Linked DNA regions of Saccharomyces cerevisiae S288C. The gene in region 2 interacts genetically with the main gene of each other region. Each region holds a gene or a part of one and is shown on either strand. Other genes may lie near its edges.

Evidence for each region. A genetic interaction does not mean that the proteins touch.
Region 1: of ALD2 (region 2) and ARO10, changing one enhances a phenotype caused by changing the other (phenotypic enhancement), as found in Saccharomyces cerevisiae (one study listed by BioGRID).

The regions. Positions count from the first base shown.
Region 1 is NC_001136.10:1,229,618-1,235,817, reverse strand, and holds the start of ARO10 (phenylpyruvate decarboxylase ARO10), read right to left. Parts: upstream 1,601-6,200; coding exon 1-1,600. Other genes in the region: SDH6 (Sdh6p), read left to right, coding at 2,301-2,540; GTPase-activating protein RGA2, read right to left, coding at 2,622-5,651. UniProt on the Saccharomyces cerevisiae protein: One of five 2-oxo acid decarboxylases (PDC1, PDC5, PDC6, ARO10, and THI3) involved in amino acid catabolism.
Region 2 is NC_001145.3:598,990-608,064, reverse strand, and holds ALD2 (aldehyde dehydrogenase (NAD(+)) ALD2), read left to right. Parts: upstream 1-4,982; coding exon 4,983-6,503; downstream 6,504-9,075. Other genes in the region: HOT1 (Hot1p), read right to left, coding at 1-2,084; EAR1 (Ear1p), read left to right, coding at 2,545-4,197; aldehyde dehydrogenase (NAD(+)) ALD3, read left to right, coding at 7,193-8,713; CEP3 (Cep3p), read left to right, coding at 8,907-9,075. UniProt on the Saccharomyces cerevisiae protein: Cytoplasmic aldehyde dehydrogenase involved in ethanol oxidation. Required for pantothenic acid production through the conversion of 3-aminopropanal to beta-alanine, an intermediate in pantothenic acid (vitamin B5) and coenzyme A (CoA) biosynthesis.

The sequences.
Region 1 (6,200 bases), on a different chromosome or scaffold from region 2:
CTTCTAGTGGAATATTGCACTTCAGAATGGTGCTCAGTTCTTGGATTGTCATCTGTGCTGCACCGTCACCTTCAAACAAAATTAATCTTGGCTTATAGTCCTCTTTTACGTTGCCACCATTGATGTGAGCGTTTGAGTGGTCTTGCATGGCAATTCCAACACCTAGGGCGGCAGGAAGGGCCATGCCAATGGAAAGGAAAAATCCTTGCGATATATATTTTAATTGCGAAGGAAACGCGAAATCACGAACAGAGAATTGAAAAGAGCCTGTTTCACAAACGACAACATCACCAGGGTTCAAAAATTTAGGCATCGTCTTTTGTAAGTGAACTTGTGTAATAATGCTTGATTGTCCATTGGTAGGATCTTCTAACCGCATTGTTTCGTTCGTATATTGAGTTACATTTGAATCATATTGCAAAGAAAGTTTAGAAACGTCAATGCGCTTGTATAGTTCTTTTAAAATAGGGGCAAAATTGATTCCTTTGAACATTTGCTCATTGCCCTGCCTAGTGTCCACAAGGCGAATATAATTCGGATGAAATTGAATGATTTTAGCATTTGGTTTATAAGTAAAAGTATAATGCCCATTATTAATTTCATTGATGTCGACTCCAAAATGCAAGACCAAGTCGCACAGTTCAAAATGTTCATAGACTTGTTTTAAACCTTCTTTACCATTATATTGACCCATATAAGTTGGGTTTGACTCATCAATTACAGATTTTCCCATAACAGTGGAAAAATTCCAAATCCCAGTTTTGCAGATAAGCTTGTTCAAAAAGTTACTCACACCATACCTATCAGTCAGTACGTCTCCAAGGATCGCAGGTGTTTTACTGGAATATATCCAACTAGTAATCTTGTTGATTATGTCAGACAATTGGTTTTCAGAAGGGTATACTATACAATCTTGTTGAGATATACGTGGAACATTAACCAAATTATCACATGTAACAGACATATCCGCAAAATCTGCAGGAACAAAAATATAACCAGGTTTAGAATACTTGTAAATATCGCGGATAACATTATCGACTTGGTCACATGCAGTTTCAATATCCTCCAAGTAGGCTACCGAGCAAGCGACTCTATCTTTTACCATATCATGATATACTTTATGATTTGGCCCTTTAAAATTTGAATCATGTAGCTGTGGGACCAAATGATGTAGGTTCCGATCACTAAAGTTACTTGAACGCGAATCTATGGACTTGGCCACACCAACAATGTGCAAAACTTTGACATTTTCAGCGAACGAACCGGCTATACCGTTCAAGGCGCTTAATTCACCAACGCCATACGTGGTTATTAAACAGCCAATCTTATTAGAGTAACGGGAATATCCGTCGGCCGCATAAGCGGCGTTCAGTTCATTACACGTGCCGACCCATCTTAGGCCAGCTGATTCAACACTAGGTGAATAGAGATATTCTAATAGAGATAAGTTGAAGTCACCAGGAACACCGAAAACTGATTTCGTATCGATGGACAACAATCTTTTAAATATGTATTCACCAAACGGAATTGTTGCTGATCGGTTGGAAACAAGGTGTCGTTCTTCTTGATTTACGAACTTTTCAATTGTAACAGGTGCCATGCTTAAGGGAGTTTCTTTGTTATCTTGTAAATAAACTTTACAGAAGTCGCGTCAACTTGTTTTGAGTATCAAGTTGAGAGGGTTGATCAGTTAAATATGTTTTATATCAGATTTTATGTAGTATTAATAAACGCAGAAAAAAAATGAAAGTGAGCTGCCGCTGTAGTGACGATGCAAACTAGCCCAGTTTATATCTTAAACTTTACTCAACACAATAAATAAGATGCCACTAACCTATTACATACCGACACTTACCGAAGGTATCAAAGCTCCGCCGCACAAAAGTACGACAAATGCTCAGCATGACCTCGGCAATTTTCGGTAAATGACGGCTATCCGCGGTTATCCCTCCCGGTAGGTAACCGACACTTTGGAGAGGATTCGCAAAGGCTCAAAGTAATATATGACGGCTTTTTCAAAAAATAGCCTAAGCCTACTACCAAATGTTAATAAGGAAGCTACATGAGGTGTACAAGCATCGAATTTTGGATTATCTTTTTCGCTAAGACGTTGTTGTACGCTTTCAATCCTGCTTTTTTAAATTTCGGTGGACGAACCAATCTAAAATGTAGTAAAACTGGTAGATGTTAATTAATTAACCTTGCAAAGCCGAAGAAAAAAAGGGGTTCGCCAAATTATTCTTAACAAAGATAATGTAGCTTAAACACACAAGAAGAAGAGGAGACGCAATACCAAGAGCATGCCTAAGAGATTAAGTGGGTTACAAAAAGAAGTCTTACACCTGTATAGGGCTTCCATACGAACGGCTCATACAAAACCAAAGGAAAACCAAGTTAATTTTGTGAATTATATTCATGAAGAATTTGGGAAGTATAGAAATTTGCCAAGAAAAGACTTCACCACCATTGAACACTTGTTACGGGTCGGAAACAAAAAAATTGCCACCTTTTCACACCCTGAACTGACGAATATACATTGAACTATTTTCTTACTTTATTCTTTTTTCATATGATTTCTTATTTAATCTATCCTATGTTTATTTAACTTTTGCAAATCTGTATTATGCTTGCTTAAATATGTCTCTATAGTTTCCAAGTATAAATTCCACGATATAATTCCTCTCCTTCATGTCCACAATATCTTTCTCGCCGTCAAAATCGTGGATAAGACTCGGTGCAAAGACCAACGACAAGTTATGTAAGTTCATTAAATTTCTTTCACTGCACCTTCGAACTTTGCCGATATGTGCTGCCAATACTTTCAATACTTCCTGATGCTCTACGGGTAAAATTTTGAAAATTTCAAGTAGGCTTTTGAGCACCATTTCATAAATAGTCACTTTTTGTGGTGAATCCAAAAACTTGTCGTTGTTTAATGGTAGCCTCTCAATTAGTTGGTTATTTCTAACTAGATCTATCAAGGCATCGTATATGGAAAATGATAAAACTGGATCTGGTAGTTTTCTCAAATATCGTTTTAATACGCTAGCCACTGCATGAATATCTTGATTCAGTAAAGCATTCAGTTTGGGACTTAATGTATCACTATGCAACGAATTATTCTGAGCGAATTCATTTTCGATCTCCTCAACCAAAGTCTGTGAGCCCGACTTTCTGTATAAGCCTTCCATGTTCAGGCCTATATCATCTTTTTCAATGCGATCAATGCAGCACCTGATAATTATTGGAACAGTACTTTTTTCATACGCACATCGAGCTTGTAGCGAAGATCCATATAAATGGGAACCATCAGGCGTATAATCTAATCTCTTTGGACTTGGCGACAGTGGTACTTTGCCTGGAGAAGGAAGCTCATCGTGTACTCGAATTAATTTCGGTGATGATATTTCTTTCTGTGCTATATTTGTCGTTCCGCCTGAAGATGAATTTGGCGAACGTTGCTGTGATTCTAGATCGCCTACCTGGTGATCCTTAGCACTTGAAAATATTTTCCAGAAGCGTGGTTTAGGACTGGCATTAGATATGCTCCCTTTTCTGTCGGAATTTGAACTTGGTGACTTTACAGTGATTGATGTTGCAATGTTTTCTTTTTGTTCTAAGGACTCCCGGGAAGATGCAGATTGCTTATCCTTTTCTCTTGTTAAATTGTCAACATCATTTAACAGCCTCTCTTTCGCTAATCTTAGATTTTCAACATCTTGTAATAATTTTTTCTTCGTACCTTCTAGTTCCCTCACATCTAATTTTAACTTCCTTAAAGTCAACTCAGTAAAGTAAAAGTCCTTTTCCAAGCTTGTAGCGCTTTCATCAGTAGCATCCACTTTCGTGGAATCGTCTTCCAACAATGCATTAGTGGATCTAGACGTCTGTAAGCTAGAAGATCTGTGGTGTGCGGACTCAGATGACAGAGATGGCCTCTTAAATAATGGCCCTGATTCCAAAGGCGGCGTACGGAACATTGCTATATGATGCCCCGAGCTTGAACTTGTAAATGAACCATTTATGCGTCTATTAGTGGCTGTATCATTAGAATTTTGCTTTTTGGATATACTGCCAAGGCTGCTTTGCGCTTTTTTGTGATTAAACTCCGGTACTGTAAAATTTCCATGTTGTGGTAGAGTATTGTATATTGTACTGTCACTTTGGCCTCTTGATACAGGATTTTTTTTGGCTTTTGATTTTCTTATATTTGTATGAGTAGAGGAAACACCCCAGCCAGAATGAGTGTCTGATTCCTGTATAGAAGTGCTGTGATGGGGATGCTTTGGGTCCAGCATTTCCGAAGTTTTACTTTTCAGGTTGTGAACAAAATTTTTGGACTTCAAAGAAAACGATCTTGAAAGTTTTTTGTTTGGAGAGGGTGCTACTTTTTTATGCGGCAATAAGTTATCTGCTGTTTGAGGCCTGCTGAAACTTCCATTATCAGACAAACGTAATGTCGATGAAGAGGTTGATGTTTTCATTTCTACGGTATCGGTTCTTGTAATCGGGGAGACATGATTCATAGATTTGGAAGTTGACGTTTGAATACCTTGAGATGATTTGTTATTTTCTTTCGTAGCTTCTGATAAAGTTAATGCCAGTCCATGCGGAGGTTCGACCTCTTCGTTCATTTGTACAGCCATAGGGCTGTTCAAAGGACTTGTAATTTTATCAGTGCTATTTCTGGGTGTGTTGACGATGATTTCATTCTCTTTGTTGTCTGTATCATCTTTGTCTGTCTCTTCTTTATCATAAATTGAAAAGAATCTATTCGCGTTCGAGTTCGAATTTGGGATCCTCGGATCCTTTACCACTATGGAATCTCGATTTGCTCTTTGTGGTTTTAATAGCCTATAGGTTACGTCTTCACCCATTTTGTTGATGTAGTCCTCATTATCCACCAAACTCTGCTCTTCAATGCTATTACTATCGTGTTCCAAAGTAGAGTTCAGAATGTCGTCAATAGAAACCGTCCTTGCGTGAGAAGATGTTTCCTCCCTGTCCTTGCTGTTATCATTATCATTATTGTCATTCAACGATGATTCATCTCTTTCTTGTGATACTAAAACTTGTGGAGTGAGCTGTTGATCCTCATTCGAGCTTACAAGGTTCTTACTTATTGCGGTGTTGTTTGTACTGACATCTGACTTACCATTTATTCTGGTGGGTGACAAGGGCCTTTTGACTGATCTTTCAGGAAGTTTTATGGGAAAATCTTCTTTCGATGAATTTTTTGTTTGATTTTCCAGTAATAGTTGTTTTTTTCTCAACAATTTCTCGTGACAATCCATACAACATAGTCCTCGTTTTGTCTTTGCATACTTTAAGTTCTTTATACGGTTGCTGCACCGACAGCATCTGAAACAATTGGAACAATAGGCCTCATTTGAGGAAGGCAGTATAATTGCTGTGTCGTCTATTTTATCGCCACAATTTGTACATTTATCTGAGCAGTCGTAACAAATTAATGTACCTATATCCAGAACCAAAAAGTCTGAATCTGCGTTCAATTTTTTGTCACATTTGTAGCATGTAAAGCACTGGTCATGCCATTTTTTGCTTTCTAATTCGTATACCTGGCTAGACGCGATTGATTTATTGCACCTCACACATAAAGACGATTGGTCATTAATAGGGTCAGCTGACATATTTTTTTCATCAAAATCTCCTTGCTCTTGAGATGCTACGTTATATTTCACTTTATTAAAAGTACAATGAACTCTTGGTAATAAAAGATAAGGATTAGAAACGCCAAGTATGCAAAGATGAAATGTTAATCAATAGGGGAGTCGACTGATCGATCTTCTGGCTAACATTCTCCAAGGAATGCCAATTTTCATATCTCGACCTGATACTGTTTACCCGAATGGGAAACTAAATTGACGTGCATTATCATTACAATTAAAAGTTACTGAAGCGATGCAACGATTTAAGCACAATTGAAGCGGCATAAATCGAATATCACTGTGGCTAATTAACTGGGTTATGTGTAGGAAATAAATGTTATTACGACTATAGGCCTTTCTTTTAGCCGTTTAATGTAAGATATTTCTATTATTAAAACATTTTACCCGGGGGCAGCTGTTCGTGTACAATGCCAAATAAGCAACGTCGCAGCAACCCATTCAATAATGCACAAGACGCCATATTAACGAGAAAATATGGCATTGCACAGTATAAGCAAAACAAGCAGAGAT
Region 2 (9,075 bases):
AGCCTTTTGTTCTCTAAGGTTTCTATCATCTCTTGTGCCGTTTTACCTCTCTCCATACCGTTCAGAATGAACTTGTACAATCTTTTTCGCCTTGAAAAGGTCTTCTTATTTTTATTGAGCCTCCACTTGTTACCATACTTGGCCTCAAGATGCTTGATCGATGGCTTTCCTCTTATTCCAGTATCATACTCTTCCCATATAGTCTTTACGTCAGTGGGAGCCTTCAATATCCTATAATGTAAATCAGAGTTTATGTTGGGCTTAGTAGCCGACTCGCCGTGAAGCTTTCTTCTACCGTTTAAAGAGTTACTTTTTTTATGATGCAAGCTCCTCCTCCGCTTGTTAATCGAAGCGTTCTTCATATCTGTTTCGATTTCATCATCTACTTCATCTTCCTCAGCAGTGCTGTCTTCTTCATTATCCCTTCCATCACCTTCGTCATCACCGTCATCATCATCATCCTCTTGATAGCCATCATCGTCGACATTACTTTTCACTGTCATTGGTTTTGGGTACGACGGTAGAGTAGAAGCTCTGTTTCTATTTACAATATTCGTGTTCACCCCTGACTTACCACTCGGTAACAATTCAGATGTCGTGCTATCCTGATTGATCAATTGGGAAAATGATAGAGGCTGCTGGGTATTATTTATAATAGGGGGTATAACATTTTGATTTGGGGGAAAAGAAGCGTTATCTAGGGCTAAGCTGGGCAAACTTAAAGCTGTTGTCGTGCCAAAGTTATTCAATGAATTTAAGTCATGAAATGAATTTGAAGCACTGGTGACGCCTGAATGAATGGAAGAATTGGTATAATTCATGCTAGTTGTAGAATTATGAGAATTCGTTAATGGAGATAGGGCTGATATGGGCTTTTGTGCAGCACTAGCATGGTCATTTGTGCTCGCATTGTTGTTACTTTGCGTATTTCTTCTGCGCCGTTTAATCCCATTTGGGTTCAACTTGAATGGCTTGTCAGTTGAAGCGTTCGGGAAACTAATAGGCGAGCGATTTACCTGCTGATGTGTATTTGTGTTATGAATTAAAACCTGCGACTGGTTCTGATTGGCTTGTGTGTTTATAACAGGACCAAGTTGTCGGTTAGGGAGCGATTGGTTTATATTTTGGGAAACATTATTTCGATTATGCTGCTGATCAGGTAAGATAGTATTTAGTGCGTTAGAAAATTGGTTGTTTAGCTGTGCAGTATTCGTATTCACATCTATGGTTCCATTCGTAGTCCGATGCTGGTTGATACCAGAATGGGTGTTGGAATCTCCTGTACATAAATCAGCAGTATGCTGTCTACCAGAGCCATTATTCTGCATTTTCTGCAAGTAAGCACTACTAACGGCTGATATCGAATTTAGCAATTCGATAGCAAGCTTATTTTGGGCATTGTTTGTGCTTGGGCGCGCGCTTGGCTGCGCAACCAACTTAAGTAATATATTCAATTTGTTCATAACTTTATAGTTATCTTGTTTTAGGTTTAAAACCATTGTATTCTGTTCCGCGATCTTATTAGATAACTTGTTGAAGCTTTCCTCCATCTCAATCATTCGGGCACTCATTTCGTCCATTCTTTGAAAAATCTTCAACTGATCCGTCGATATTTCGTTCGACGGTGAATCATTAGTCAAGGATTGGCTTAACATACGCCCTGTACCCGCCGTTGTCGAGTTCGAAGCGGAAACATTCGAGTTCACCCGCTCTTCATTACTCAGTTTTTCACCAATAGTTTCTGTTGGTTGACTGGTACCTGTGGGTGCTGAAATCGCTGCTGAAGTCCTCAAAAGACCTCCATCTAGTGCATTTCCATCGTTGCGAAGTGTACTGGCGTTACTGCCACTGGCGCTCTCTGAACCAGTCGTAGGCGAAATGTGAGTGGGCAGTGAGAGGTCAAGATTGATACCTATAGCATCTTCATTTACTTGACTATTCATCCTGTACCCATCCTTTAATGTAGTGGGCATCATTAAGAATAAGAAGAAAGGGCTCATCAGTGTAGAATAATCGAAGCTGATGGTTATCCTATAAATCTTTGTACGTACGATGCAAAGAATCGCAATACCCATTCCAGACATTATGCTCCAGCCATATGTACCCTAAATATAATCTTTTTTGTATATAAAAAACCTAAAAAAGAGATAACTAAACCTAGCTCAATATTTAATTTGACCTAACCCTCCGTCGGCCCTTTTTTTTTATTTTTTTCTTCGGAACGGTGCGCTATAAAGAAAAAAGGCAAATTCCAGGTTATCCATATAAACGCCATAACAAAATTTCATTGATACAGGCTTTAAGAACCTTGCTCTATTTACTACTGCTCTTTCTTCCTCTCTCAGGTTGAGCTATTTTTGAGAATAGCGCTTTACTGCTGCATGGAGGAGTGATTTTTTATAGAACATTGAAAAACCAAAGGACTGGTGCCTAACTACAAAATTTTCAAGAGTTGTTTCAAGTTATCTATATTGTCATTGGTTAATAATTATAAAAAATCTTAAAGTTTGGAGAGCCAAATTTTTTTTCTATATAAAAAAGCAAATGTCATTCAAGTTTCTGATAGAATCGCTGCTTCTCGGTTCGATAAGCGGACAAATACGGTGTGGTAGATCTTCGGTGATCCCCCGTGGCGATGTATCTTATGGGGGAGACGATACTGACGAACTTAACATGGATATAATGTTGTTTGCGTTTGGAACCTTAATCGTGGTCTACATCGTCATCTGTATCGTTTATTTTTTTACAAAACAGATAGCTACGCGGCTTATAACTGCATATTATAATGAGCATGGCCCTGGCCAAAGAATATCTTTATTCAGCGATTATGACGAAAATAATGCACACGTTCATAGCAGAAGATTAATGGAAAACATGAGTTTAAGGTGGCCCAACAATCTTGACGATGCTGATGAAGTAAGAGATAAGCTGGCACAGTTGTCACCTGAAGAGCAGTTTTATTATAAGCAAGGTGAGGAGTATATCAAGCAGAACCCACCATTTCTGCTTAACCAGGGACTTTTACAACAGTCCGAAGATAGCAATCCAGACACCACCCGTGAAGACCCTATTATGAACGAGCAAACAAGGCAATATATTCAAGAAGAGGGGGCTTATGCATGGGAGTTTAGCCCAAATCCTGATATGCCAAACCATACTGTCATAGTGGAAAATAAAACAGAGGTTTCTTTTCTAAATTATAATTATGATGCTTCTATATCCACAAATCTACCCATTCCGTGTATAAATAAAGTATATTATTGTGAATTCAAGATATTTGAAACGGATGGCCCACTAAACAGTGATGAAAATGTATCGAAAGGTGTCATCTCATTTGGTCTTTCCACACAGCCTTATCCATATTTCAGGTTACCGGGAAGACACCACCATTCGATAGCATACGATTCTAACGGCGCCAGAAGATTTAATGACTCCTTCAAACTAAATGAGCAATTAAGAACGTTATTTCCACAGTGTGAAAAGGGAGACATTGTTGGCATTGGCTATAGGTCACGTAGTGGAACAGTATTTTTCACCAGGAACGGAAAAAAACTAAATGAAAAATCTGTTGGTGGTCATATCCGCGGCTGGAAATTCCAATACCTATACCCGATCATTGGCTCCAACGTACCTTGTCAAATTCATGTGAATTTCGGCACTTATGGCTTTGTTTATATAGAAGCAAACGTTAAAAAATGGGGATACGCAAAGTCAAACGGCATTAAATTACCTCCTCCTTCTTACGAAGACTACGGTAAAGATACCCTATTAGAAAGCGGTGGTGAAGACAATGATTTCGACGAAGATTTTTCAGACGGTGATAGCGACAATATTGCGGCTGGTAGTACTACAAATCTCAATGATGATATAATTATAAGAAACGGTGAAATATTACCGCCACCACCTGGATTTGAATTCACTATGTCCCCTCCCACTGGAAAGAAGATCATCAATGAGGAAATTAATCTAGATTCCTTACCTATGCTACCACCAAGTTACTCGGACGATGAACATCATTCGAAAAATGATAAATCAGCAATAAGCGGACGAATTATTGGAACGAGCAGAAATTTAATTACTGATGAAGCATCTTTCGATAGTGTTGATAATGATAACGAAGATGAAAATGATCACGAGAGAGATCCCGAACAATTTTCAGAATTTGATGATTACGAAAGCAGGATGCATGGCATATAATACGAAAATGCATGAGATAGTAAGGCTGAAACACTAGCCCCGGTCAGTTATCTTTTTTTGCGCTGTATTACGCAGAGCCACCATTTTTTAAAAACATTGCAATTTATAACGTTTTCTTCCTTATTGAGGGTTTCAACGCTATCACCTACTCGATATCGCAGTGCAGCATATAGATATTTACATACATATATACATATGTTTACGTACACTAGTAAGGGCAACTGGTTGACCCGCAAACTTCCTTCTTACTTTCCGTACTTTTGCCATCTTTACTTGCACCTCCGTGCTACCTCTTAATGTGTCACAAGAAGAACGTATGAAGTATTTGTCAGCGCTTCAGACATCAGCATGGGTTGCAAATGCGTGAGATTAAAATGAAGCGTTCCAGCTCGAAAGAAAATTTGCTTATCTTTCCCTTCTATCATTTTTTTTTTCTCGTTTTTTATTTTGCATTGCCTTATCTTTTGCCGCCAGAAGAAACAAGGTTGCCATTATCGTGCCATGCGTTTACTTGCTAACGCCCTATGATGTTCCCGGCGGCTTTTGGATACTAATAATAGCAATCATATACCCTTTATTGGTTACTCCTATCCAATGATGAGTTTTTTTAACTCGTTTAAACATTAGGGATGCAATCTTGTCGACACTCACTGATCATATCCCGAATTTTGCTCAAGAATGTTCATATAAAGGGAGCGAATCCTTAAAAATACTTTTGGCCCATTCCTATCATTTTTACATTGCATGTCCATCAAAAACAATCGTGAAAATAAGCCAAAAGAAAAATGCCTACCTTGTATACTGATATCGAAATCCCACAATTGAAAATCTCTTTAAAGCAACCGCTAGGGTTGTTTATCAACAATGAGTTTTGTCCATCATCAGATGGAAAGACCATCGAAACTGTGAACCCAGCTACTGGCGAACCGATAACATCCTTCCAAGCAGCTAACGAAAAGGATGTAGACAAAGCTGTGAAAGCTGCCAGGGCTGCTTTTGATAACGTTTGGTCGAAGACATCTTCTGAGCAACGTGGTATTTATCTTTCAAACTTATTAAAACTTATTGAGGAGGAGCAAGACACACTTGCCGCATTAGAGACTTTAGACGCTGGAAAGCCTTACCATTCAAATGCCAAAGGTGATTTGGCACAAATTTTACAGCTTACCAGATATTTTGCTGGGTCCGCTGATAAGTTTGACAAAGGTGCAACCATACCATTGACTTTTAACAAGTTTGCATATACTCTAAAAGTTCCTTTTGGCGTTGTTGCTCAAATCGTTCCATGGAATTATCCTCTAGCTATGGCTTGTTGGAAATTGCAAGGTGCCTTAGCAGCCGGTAACACGGTTATCATCAAACCTGCTGAGAATACCTCTCTATCTCTACTTTATTTTGCTACTTTAATTAAAAAAGCAGGTTTTCCACCTGGTGTTGTCAATATCGTTCCTGGTTATGGATCACTTGTAGGCCAAGCCCTAGCATCTCACATGGATATCGACAAAATATCTTTTACGGGAAGCACCAAGGTCGGTGGATTTGTGTTGGAAGCTTCCGGCCAATCGAACCTTAAAGACGTTACACTAGAATGCGGTGGTAAGTCTCCTGCTCTCGTATTTGAAGATGCAGACCTTGATAAGGCTATCGATTGGATAGCAGCTGGCATTTTCTACAATTCAGGACAGAATTGTACCGCAAACTCAAGAGTTTATGTTCAAAGTTCGATCTACGACAAGTTTGTTGAAAAGTTTAAAGAAACTGCAAAGAAGGAGTGGGATGTTGCAGGAAAATTTGATCCGTTTGATGAGAAATGCATCGTTGGTCCAGTTATATCAAGTACACAGTATGACCGCATCAAAAGTTACATAGAACGTGGTAAAAGGGAGGAAAAGTTGGACATGTTCCAGACCTCTGAATTTCCTATTGGTGGAGCTAAAGGCTACTTCATTCCCCCAACCATCTTCACTGATGTCCCGCAAACATCGAAACTGTTACAGGATGAGATATTTGGCCCGGTTGTGGTTGTTAGCAAGTTCACAAATTATGATGACGCTCTGAAGCTGGCTAATGATACTTGCTACGGGCTCGCCTCTGCGGTCTTCACAAAAGATGTCAAGAAAGCGCACATGTTTGCTCGCGATATTAAAGCAGGAACTGTTTGGATCAACTCATCTAACGATGAAGATGTTACCGTTCCTTTTGGCGGGTTTAAAATGAGTGGTATTGGTAGAGAACTGGGGCAAAGTGGTGTTGATACCTATCTTCAAACAAAAGCAGTTCACATAAATCTCTCTTTGGACAACTAATGTGATAGTTATCATTATGTAAGTGCGTAAGTACCTAAATAGCTTAGCCTGACGACGGATGAATATGTTGACAGTCTAGCAAACAGTAGTAGTCCACTACTCGATATAAAACTGTAAGCACCATTATTTCAGCATGCGGAACAATTGTTGTTACTAGGTCCTAGAAATCCCTTAAGATGGTAAAAAAATAGAGCTATAAACTCAGTGAGATTTATTTTTGTGTCAAGAAATTATACTTGCGTGTTAGTTTTCTCTATTCCCACCATTACGTAGATCTTCCGTCTTTTTTTTTTCTTTTTCTGCATATGACGTCTGTTCTTCCTTCCCCCCCTGGAGTACAAGGAAAGTATCACTATTAGAACTCTACAGTACCTTTCTTCCACGCCCTTTAGTGCATTTAGGGATTTTCATTACTGCTAATCCAAGACTTGAACCGGATTGTTGATCAGCCCCCTTCTTAAGCTGATTGCTAAACTCCCTAAGGGTTAAGGAATTAGTAAGTTTAGGGAGGAGACAGGGAGATTGTTCAAACGAATAGCGTAGATTTAACTGATCATACCTCAGAAACTAATTGTATAAAATGGCAAATCTGGATGGGAATAAATTTGACTCATGCCAGGTAATTATACCTTGGACTTGTATCATAGAGATATAGATTATACACATTTAGAAAATTAGCCAAAAGAAAAATGCCTACCTTGTATACTGATATCGAAATCCCACAATTGAAAATCTCTTTAAAGCAACCGCTAGGGTTGTTTATCAACAATGAGTTTTGTCCATCATCAGATGGAAAGACCATCGAAACTGTGAACCCAGCTACTGGCGAACCGATAACATCCTTCCAAGCAGCTAACGAAAAGGATGTAGACAAAGCTGTGAAAGCTGCCAGGGCTGCTTTTGATAACGTTTGGTCGAAGACATCTTCTGAGCAACGTGGTATTTATCTTTCAAACTTATTAAAACTTATTGAGGAGGAGCAAGACACACTTGCCGCATTAGAGACTTTAGACGCTGGTAAGCCTTTCCATTCCAATGCTAAACAAGACTTAGCCCAGATTATAGAACTTACAAGATACTATGCGGGGGCGGTCGACAAGTTCAATATGGGTGAAACCATTCCATTGACTTTTAACAAGTTTGCATATACTCTAAAAGTTCCTTTTGGCGTTGTTGCTCAAATCGTTCCATGGAATTATCCTCTAGCTATGGCTTGTAGAAAAATGCAAGGTGCCTTAGCGGCCGGTAACACGGTTATCATCAAACCTGCTGAAAATACCTCTCTATCTCTACTTTATTTTGCTACTTTAATTAAAAAAGCAGGTTTTCCACCTGGTGTTGTCAATGTCATTCCTGGTTATGGTTCCGTTGTGGGGAAAGCTTTAGGAACCCACATGGATATCGACAAAATATCTTTTACGGGAAGTACTAAGGTTGGCGGCTCAGTATTGGAAGCTTCCGGCCAATCGAACCTTAAGGATATCACACTAGAATGCGGTGGTAAGTCTCCTGCTCTTGTATTTGAAGATGCAGACCTTGATAAGGCTATAGAATGGGTAGCAAATGGTATTTTTTTTAATTCGGGACAGATCTGCACTGCAAACTCAAGAGTTTATGTTCAAAGTTCGATCTACGACAAGTTTGTTGAAAAGTTTAAAGAAACTGCAAAGAAGGAGTGGGATGTTGCAGGAAAATTTGATCCGTTTGATGAGAAATGCATCGTTGGTCCAGTTATATCAAGTACACAGTATGACCGCATCAAAAGTTACATAGAACGTGGTAAAAAGGAGGAAAAGTTGGACATGTTCCAGACCTCTGAATTTCCTATTGGTGGAGCTAAAGGCTACTTCATTCCCCCAACCATCTTCACTGATGTACCAGAAACATCTAAGTTGCTGCGTGATGAAATATTTGGCCCGGTTGTGGTTGTTAGCAAGTTCACAAATTATGATGACGCTCTGAAGCTGGCTAATGATACTTGCTACGGGCTCGCCTCTGCGGTCTTCACCAAAGATGTCAAGAAAGCGCACATGTTTGCTCGCGATATTAAAGCAGGAACTGTTTGGATCAATCAAACCAATCAAGAAGAAGCTAAAGTTCCTTTTGGCGGATTTAAGATGAGTGGTATTGGTAGAGAATCAGGCGACACCGGCGTTGATAACTATTTACAAATAAAATCAGTCCATGTGGATCTTTCATTGGATAAATAATTCGTTACATAGTTATATAAATGTTTACATGAGATTCAAAGCTTCATATTCTATGAAATCTTTATTTTTTACGGCTTTAAATGAAGTGCGCGCAGCCATGTAAGCTAAGCGTAAGAGAATGAAATATTATAACCAACCTTCAGAGAGCAGGTGATGACAAAAGTTACGAACACGAGTTTGCATCCTAATAATAATGTTTAACCGTACCACTCAACTGAAATCCAAGCATCCCTGTTCCGTGTGTACGAGGCGAAAAGTCAAATGTGATCGTATGATACCGTGTGGAAACTGCAGGAAGAGAGGACAGGACTCCGAATGTATGAAATCAACAAAACTAATAACGGCTTCATCTTCCAAGGAAT